2 linked regions of the Drosophila melanogaster genome follow. The protein of the gene in region 1 interacts with the protein of each later gene in a pairwise test. Each region holds a gene or a part of one and is shown in the gene's direction. Other genes may lie near its edges.

The links.
Region 2: the proteins of CG34377 (region 1) and CG14005 interact in a two-hybrid assay, tested with the Drosophila melanogaster proteins (one large-scale study listed by BioGRID).

Annotation. Positions count from the first base shown.
Region 1 is NT_033777.3:22,320,932-22,326,137, reverse strand, and holds the start of CG34377 (uncharacterized protein), read left to right. Parts: upstream 1-2,043; 5' UTR 2,044-2,413; intron 2,414-2,758; exon of another isoform or gene 2,759-2,773; 5' UTR 2,774-2,999; intron 3,000-5,206.
Region 2 is NT_033779.5:5,799,996-5,804,003, reverse strand, and holds CG14005 (uncharacterized protein), read left to right. Parts: upstream 1-2,028; 5' UTR 2,029-2,117; coding exon 2,118-2,332; intron 2,333-2,395; coding exon 2,396-3,134; 3' UTR 3,135-3,487; downstream 3,488-4,008. Other genes in the region: CG7239 (uncharacterized protein), read right to left, coding at 161-1,232, 1,292-1,599.

The DNA of each region.
Region 1 (5,206 bases):
GCTGGGAAAAGGAAAAACTTTGCCTATATGATATGCCCCCATGCTCCAGATGACGAGGCCCGAATGCTTTGTCAACGCATGCCACATGGAATATTCATCGGTGGAAGCGGTCTGCTGGGGCCAAGGGGGCGTGCCACAGTTTATGGCACGTTTGTGCCGCAGCCAGCTCTCATTATGTGGCAGCCACCGCAAGTACGTGCCCCGGACAGCCCATAAGCGGGACATGCCTTCCGCCCTGCATTCCGTCTATGCGGAATCTCAGCCAGACCCCAGATCCATGACCATCACAACTTCTTGGGGCATTGTTCTTTAATTTTCCTTTGATTACCTTTTTTTTAAGCCCACATAAAGCCTTTTATTATTTTAATTTTTATAATCTGCATCGTCAATTTTTTAAATGCCTTAATATGCATTTAAAGTGCAGGAAATTTGGAAATGTGCTAACATTCCTAATTCCCTTTCCAAGATATCTTATCAAATAAACACGAATTTACCCGTGTTTTCTATTTTTTAATGACATCCCTCCAAAAAGCCTGCAATATTCTGCATCCAATCTGATTAGTCCGCGTTGCCATCTATAGATTTGCATTATTAACACTCCAATCCGGCGTAATTCGTTGATTAAACCACCGTGGGAGTTCTGGTACCCGGGTCTAGACCCACCCACCAAGGTCGGCAGGTGTGGCGCACACCCGCTTTTCGCATTTGGCTGCATCAGCAAACAGTCGCCCGCTCCATGAGAAAGTTTCAGCGAAGCTGCCACAGCGAAATGTTGCTGATGACAGCAGCAATATCAGTCTGCAGTGGCAACAGCTACATCAGCAGCAGCAGCAGCAACTGCCGCTCCCTGGATTTGTTTGCAGTCATTCGCATGTGTCATCATCAGCGGCCGAGATGATGAAGCACAAAATATGCCCAGGCGCGCTAGCAACTAAACTGACTGACTGCCAGTCTGGCTCAAAAATTAAAAAAAAAGAAATTAAAAATAAAATATAAAAAAATTGCACAAGCACACAAGGCAAACAGACAAATGAGGACGCCAGCGGTGACATGATAGCCTGTGAGCGTCTGCCGCCTGTCCTGGTACACTGAAACATATATACCTATAATGAAGTATATATATATATATATATTTTACTAAAAAGTGTATTCAATGGACAAGGTTCTTTACAGTTTTTCACTCAACTATTCTCTTAAGCTTTGCCACTCCATTCCATATATAAAGCTTTAAAGTATTGCTGTAAGGAACGCAATAATATTGTGCATAGAGCACACTCTTTTCTCCCAGTGCATCGCAGCGTTGGTCTCTGCTGGCTGCGCAGCTGCTGCCTTTTCCGTTGCTGCTGCACGCGTTGCACTGCCGCCGCTGCCACTGCCACTGCTGTTGCTGGTGCTGCTGCTTGTTCTCTGCTATATTTAAATACGCTGCGGGTTGCAACGTCGGCTGGCGTGGCACTTCATTTGCTTCCACAACTCATTCATGCTTTGGAGCCCAGACGGCCTGTCAGAGCCGTCTAAGCCGGGGTAAACACTCTCCGGGCCCCTCATCCTGCCCCTCATCCGCTGCCTCATCCTGCCAGCCGTCGAGCTCATGTGCCTCACCTACTTTCCGCTCTTAGGCTGAAGCCTCAGCTCCGCTTCGGGGTGGCTGCAGCGAGAATAAAAAGAGAATGCACGGCATGGCCCGCAAAAAGAAGAGTTAAATAAAAAGCTGGGTTGAAAAAAAAAAAAAAACCCTCCCTCCTGGGTATCGCTTACAACGGGGCACTTGCAACCAGCCAGACCCCCGATTACCCCCATCCGTCAACCTATCGTTAGCGTTAACGCTAGCGTTAATGTTCACGGCGCGGCCTTCCTCGAGGAGTTCAGTTCAGTTGCTCTGCTCTGCACTGCACTGCTCTGCTCTGCCCGATTCTCGATTCTCCGGCAACGGCACCGGCAGAGGCAACATAGCCAACAGAGGCAACTGAGGCAGTGGCAAGAACCCAGGCCCAGGAGGCCGTGTTTCTGCTGATGGTGCCACAGTACGCTCGCGTGCTTTGCATACTTTGGTTGCGTTTTTTTACTCCGCTCCCGGTTGCACGGTGCACGGTTGCAGTTCGCCTATTCGTTTTGGCCGTCTCACTGAGTACGCCTTGCAATCAGCCGGGCAGCAAACTGCCGCTTGTCGCGTAATTTGCCCGCCATTTTGCACCATTCCGCGTTTCCGGTTGGCGAACCTACTTCCGGTGACAGTTTTTGCGCGCGTTTTCGCCAGCCATTGTTCTGGCCAAAAAAAAATTGGTTAGAAGAAAAAACGCAGGCAACGGCGGGGAATTTCAAATCCGATGTCGTAAATCAAACGAACGGCAATTGTGCGTGTGTGATCGGCAGGCTCTACACTGAGAGAAAGCTAAATAAAACACCCCTTTCGGTATGTTTTCACATCCATAAAAATCATTAAAGATAATGACAAAATATTAGTGCTTGTTCAGTAACAGCAAGTAACAGCATTTTCTTAATCTTGTTTGTTGTTTGATGTTACGTTTCCTTTTAATGGTCTAAGTCCGTGTTTTTTGCGCTAGCTCAATATAAATATATAATACAAAAAATATTACAGTAACTTTATATTATTTATAAAATATTCTAATAAACTTACTGCTTACTTAAAAAGACTTAATCAAGAACAAAAATTTGATTTCTTACATTGAATGAGATCTGATAGATTAATGCAACTCAAGATGCATTGAGTACCTATTGGCCAATACAATTCGATTAGTTTTCTTCCGTGTAGAACTTATCCAGTGGTCGAGTCCCCAACAAGTGGGTGGCATTGGGATTATGTCTTTGCGGGCACGGAGCAGTTGGCCAATCCCCGGCAAATGAAGTGCGGCAGCATTTGATTATATATAGCGACTTCCGAACCGCTTAACTTGGCTGTGAGTGTGCGCGAGTGTTTGCATGTCTTGAGAGCCGCGAACAGGACACAGCCGATCCACCTACTGATTACGGCTCACAATGTAAGTAAATTGCGGAATTACGGGGTCTCGATTCGTTGATTACTCAATCAGCAGTCAATGGGTTTAACTGCCGGATTTCCGGAGCGTTGTGGGGAAGTACGACTGGGGTTCGTACTAATCCACGGCTTCATATCAGATTGATAACTATTATTCAGTTGATTGCCTAAATAGGTTATTAGTTTGAAATAGTGCGCGCCAATTAAGGTGCTAGTGCTAAAATAGTAATATGTAAATATTCAAATTTTAACATCAGAAAGATACCGAAAGCCTTTACCAACCAAAGAACTACAAATTTCGCTTCGCTTCATTGAAATTTGCTATAATCTGAGACATTTTTGATACTTAAAACATTGCAAGTAGCACAGTTTATGGATGCATTTGGAAAACTTGTCTGCAGCTTCTTGCAGCCTTCCCAGACGAGTTCACTATTTGAAAGGATTTTAGTTTCGTGCTCATTTTTTAACCATCGAGAAACTGGAAGCTGAATGAAGCTTCAGCTGACTGGAGGCTGTCTTCTTCCATTCAGCCCGTCTAAAACCATTCCTTTTTGGGCCATTCCCACCACAATGAAACCGCAGCGAAGCCGAAAAGAATAAATATGAAAAATATGAGAATGCAGCTCGAGTTGGGCATTCATGCATCTCCGTCTATTCACACTCATTCAGCGCGGGATGAGCTGGCCTTAAATTTGCATAACAAGCGACAAAAGTCCCCCGAATCGTAATTATGTGCAAACAAACGGGGCAAATGAAATTTCAATTAAAAAACGAGTGCGAGAGCTGGGGACCAAACCAAAAAAATAAAAAGGAAAAAAGTGAAATCGAAGCTGAAGCCTATGGGTGGGGATGCCCCCTTTGTAAGGCTTCCCGGCCACCGCAATACGCACTGTTGGCTGGGAAAGGGAGCAGCCAGTCGAGTTGAAATGAGATGAGTTGAGGCGAGTTGAGTTGCGACTCGAAGTGAATGCCGAGTGCCAAGTGCAGCGCCAGGTGCACTGACATTGGCACACGAACGAGGCTGCAACCCGACCCCCCCCCCCTCCCATTACCCCTTTCATTTTTTCTGCAATTCGTGACCCACCACCCCCTTCACCATTGTGAACACCCCTTCGAGTGACTGGCAGTGCAATTTTGTTGCCAACCTTGAGGACGTCGCTCTGCCTGCTGCTGCACGCCTGATATTCCGGATTCAAGGCTGCAAGCAGGGGCGTCCGAGCAGGGGTATCCCGGCTCATTTTCGCTGTTTTCCCATCGAATTCAGCCATTCAGTGGATTGATTTCCCCTGCACAATGGGTGCACGTTCAACTAGGGAATATATTTGCATCCAGGATATCTAAAACTTTTGTTTGCCACTCGTGAATTTAAGATTTGAGTTTTTTAGTATAGCTAAATATTAAAAAACTTATCTTTAATAATTATGTACTGATATCTTAAATTCATTAGCATTACGAGTGAACTAAACCGTCGGATTGCAGTGAAATCATACTTTGCCTGCTCCGGAATTTAGTTGTTTTTATTTTCCGTATATTTTCTATTTTTTTTTTTTTTTGAGCCAACAATGTCAACATGGCAGTCAGCAGTCAGAGGAGCTGCAGCTCGCTTTTTCCACTTCCTGCCCTCGTCGTGGAAATAATCAGTGTGCGCCTTTTTGTGTGCATTGTTGTGCTTTGGGGTGTTAAGGGTTGGAATGGGTTAAGGGGGTGGCAGGTTGCAGCGCTCAGTTGCCATTGCAGTTAATTGAAAATACTAAATTTCCACTGTCTAGACGGCAAATTATATGACAATTGTTAGAGCGCGCATGTTTGGCTTTCATATTAAAATTAATTACTCTGGCTGAAATTTTGCATAAAAATTTATGTGAAAGCCATAAACAATGGGGCCATTGTCGAGCCGGCTTATGTTTATCTGCGAATGTGAGTGCTGCTTCTGTTTCTGTTTAATTTCAGCACTTTCGCACAGTGGGCTGTAAGTGGCACAGGAGTTGGACTTAATCCCCTTTGGAAAGTTTCGTAATTAGAAAGCTAAGGCGATAATCAATGGTGGTAATCGGGGAAAGCGCGATGCATTTGCGAATTTTCACACGCTTCAGGGCTTACGAATTTCTCATAATTATAGCAGAGGATATATACTCTTGAGGGCGAAGGTGAAGGAGTCCAGGAAATTGCAAATTACAAACGGAAAACGTGGGCTGGCCGAACACCTTTGAT
Region 2 (4,008 bases), on another chromosome or scaffold:
GTTTACTTTTTAATCTTACAAACAGTTTTGCATGTTTTTTGTTAAGTTTCGTGGCACCGATCAGCCTGCGAAGCGGCATGTTGCAGCAATCCAGTATCTGAAAACCAGTGTTCGTGCACTGCGGTCCAAAATTGAGGTTATGAAAAGTCGGAAAAGGAGTTCACTGCGGCCGCTGGGCCGTAGGATGCTGATGCTGCTTCTGCAGCTGAAGGACGTGGCTCAGAATCTGCGCCTGCTGCTCAAGACACTTGGGGAAGAAGGTCTGCATGAGGTCGACCTTGCGTTCCTCCAGCTCCAGTCGCTGCCGACATATCTTGGTTTGTTCGTAGAGCAGCTGGTTCTTTCGCCGAACTTCCTCCATGTAGAGCGCCTCCAGCGAGTCTGCGTGTGGGGGATTCACAGATCCGAATGGACGACCGCGCTTCCGTGGCACAGGGACGGGGGAGGCGCCAACGACGGCGTTGTTGGTGGTCGAAACTGGAGCTGCAGCCGGAACCGATGCCGATACCTGTGCGGGCACCGGCGCTGGCATGCCTCCGTTTGCGTTTGTGGCCACGCTGATGGTGTTATTGCTGCTATTGATATAGGCTACCGCCGTTATGGGCTGATGGTTGACGGTCGATGTGGCCGCAGTGCTAATAACGCTGTTGTTATTGAATTGAGCCGGCTGCTGCTGAAATTGCGACTCATAGTTTGTTTGGAACTGCTGCTGTTGTTGCTGCTGCTGCTGCAGTTGTTGCTGCTGCTGTGGCGTCTGCAGCTCGAGCAGCTGAGCCGGCTCGGCTGGGGAATACTGTTGCAACTGCTCCTGAAAGGGAATGGAGCGGTACTCATCGTCCTCGTACTCCTGCTTGACCACCTCGTCATACTGGTCCGTAAACAGCTCCGTGTTGAAGCTAACTCCGCCGCTGGTGTTGTTGTTGTGGCTGCTGCCGTGATTGCTATTGCTGCTGCTATTGTAATAGGTGGCAGTGCTTGGCTCACTGGCCAGTCCCAAGCCTTGCTGCTGCTGCTGCTGAACGGATTGCTGCTGTGGCTGCTGCTGCAACTGCTCTGCGGACGCATCATCCCGGGGCGGTGTCATGTCGCGGTTGTTGAGCAGCGCCTCTGGCGGCAGCGGATCGGCGTTCTTGGGCCTGTGCAGGTTCTTCAGGATGCGATTGATAATGTCGTACTTCTTCCAGCGCGTAGCATAGCTCGAAGGATCCGCCTGCAGCTGTTTTTTGACTTGCCTTAAAAGGGAAACCAGTCAGTTAATCCGGTATAGCAAAGTGTCTAAACGGTTACCTACCTGAACTTGGCCCTGGTCTGGTTGACCTTCATCTGGATCTCCTCGGGCTTCACGTCCACGGCGAACCGGTCGCGCAGTTCCTCGGCCCACCGGCCAAAGAAGATGGTGTTCTTGCCGGTGCGCGTCAGGCGCCAGTTGTCGCGTCCCCAGATCTCGTACAGGCGCTCCTCCTCGCTGGGCGTCCAGTAGCGACGCGCCTTCTCCTTGCCCCTGCCATCGAGCAGCTCCTGACCACCGCACATGCCTAAGTCCTGCTCGGCACCGCTGCCGCTTCCGCCCGCGTTCAACGCCAGCTTCTCGTAGTCCATCGACTGCTCTGCACCGGCTCCTGATCTGCTCCCGCAGATGTATCCCTGTAACGTTGCCTTTGGATATGCGATCTCCACTCTAGTTACACAATGCGACGCTGTGGTAGAATGGTTGAAGCCAAGTGCAGTTTTTCCGCACAAAAAATCAACAACAGCTCTGATACACAGAAGAGTGTGACCTTGCGGCGCGAGAACGCCGAAAATGCCTAGATTCCTGAGCGAATTTCCTGAAATAAGTAATATAATAAATTTCATTTAGTACCATATCAGTATCATGTATATACTACAGCTGGGAGAATGGCTTTGGGGCTAGTCCAATATTAAGAAATAAAATTATTAAGATATTAGATATATCTTTTCCAGATTTCAATAGCTCTATAAGAAAATTTAAATCATTGATGGTATTTTTTGGCGCCTGCCGCGCTCAAGCGTTATTGGTATTTCCACGCCTGGTCCTTGGTCACGTACGAAAATGTTTGGATTATAACGATTCCACAAAATTGAAATTAGACCGGAATATGAGCGGCCAGAAGCACCTGCGATTGCGCTACTACACGTCGCTGGAGGAGGCCATGCTACTGCGGCTGTGGCGCGAGCACCTGCATGCCATACCCTCCTACACGGACAACCTGCCCATTTTCCGGGAAATCGCGCACGGCCTGCAGCAGAACGGAGTTCGGCTCAATAAGCAGGAGGCTCGCCGGCGCATCAACAGCTACCGCAACAAGTATTTGTGAGGCGCAGCAGCGGCTCGGGTCAGTTCACAGTGCTAATATCTCCTTCCACTTCTCTGCAGGAACGATCGCAATCGCGTGGGGGGCAATGCGAACTTCGCGAAGGATTGGCGTCTCTACGCGCTGATCGATTGCCTCTTCTGTCCTGCCTGGCCGTCGTCCGCCCTCTTCCATTTCCGCAATGTGCTGGAGACGATCCGTGCGACAGCACGTGTGGATTTGCCCGCCCTGCCGCCACTGCTATACACTTCGCCCGCCCAGCTAAAATTTGAGCGCGACTCAGAGGGATGCACCTTCCTCGATGCCCAGCCCCTAGTTCCCGCAGTAGTGAAGACAGAGCCTCTGCCAGACGAACACCACCAGCTGGTGAATATTGAATACAAGCCCACAGTGACGCAGCTGGAAAACGCGGCTAGCCACTACCTGGAGAGAGCTACTGCCGAAAGTGTCATTCAGCGGTCGCCTCTCACGCCTGCCAACCACATCCTGCCCGAGGCAGAGGATGCGCCATATGGAGGCCACACCAACGGTGGCCAGACGGACGCCGAACGTTCGGCGAGCAAAAGGAGACGAGGGCGACGTAGTATACTGCCGCACTCGGGCAAGATCACAATGGCAATAGTGGAGGCGCTGCGCAAGGAGAACAGTTTGCTCGAGCAGCAGAACGACGCCTGTCTGCAGTCGCTCGTGCGCAAGGAGAAGCAGTTCCTGGACATGAAACATAACTTTCTGGCGTATATGGAGCGGCAGGAGGCAGTGCTGGCGTTAATAAAGCAAACGACCATCAAGCTGGAACCATGATCCCGACTACTAGCACCACGTGGTAAGGACATTGTATGACAGCTTTAGCTTTAAGTTGGGAATAGAGTCGCGGCGCTCGACCCTGTGTATGTTTTTCAATTCGTTCCTTTCTCAGACACAGATGTCTAATTCACTCGACGTACAAAGCAGCAGCATAGCGAACCGAAGATATTATAATTTCTCAAACGTTCTTTTTCTAGCGTCATAAGTGTAATGTGTATGAACAATCGTCTGTGCAAAAGATCAATCTATACGGTCTTTAGTCTTAAATTAAAAACATTGTCTTGAGGCGAACTTGTATGGTAGCTACATTTTTAAAAAAAAAACTAAAACTAAACAACTGGCTAAAAAATAAATTAGATGAAAGACTATTATACTATATATATATACTATACTATATAGACTATACTATTATTTCTATTGTTACAGAATATCTTGTTGATATAATAGTAACGAAATCAAACATAAATTCAAATGAAATCAGTGTGAATAGCCTATTAAGTTTTGCATTTCGATCAACTTAGCGTGTGCAACAACCGCCGGTTATTTGTTCATCAACCCCTGCTGCAGCAGTGTGGCCGTAGCCGGAATGTGAAAATATCCGCAAACACCGCATGCGGACCTCTCTTAGTCGCTCTCTTAGCGCACAATGCGCTCTCTGCCAACCGAAATGCCACAGACTTTTTGTAGGCTTTTCCACTTTTTCGATTTCGAGACTTCGAGCGAAACGGTCGTGTTTTTCGCGTGTGTGCGGGTGGCGGACGCGCGTGCCAATCGGAAAAGGCCTTTAAATCAAATGAGTGGCTCGCCAAAGGAGCGCATCAAGGTGTGTGCGATTGTATCGAGTGTGTGTGCTTGTGCGGTGCGGAGAAAG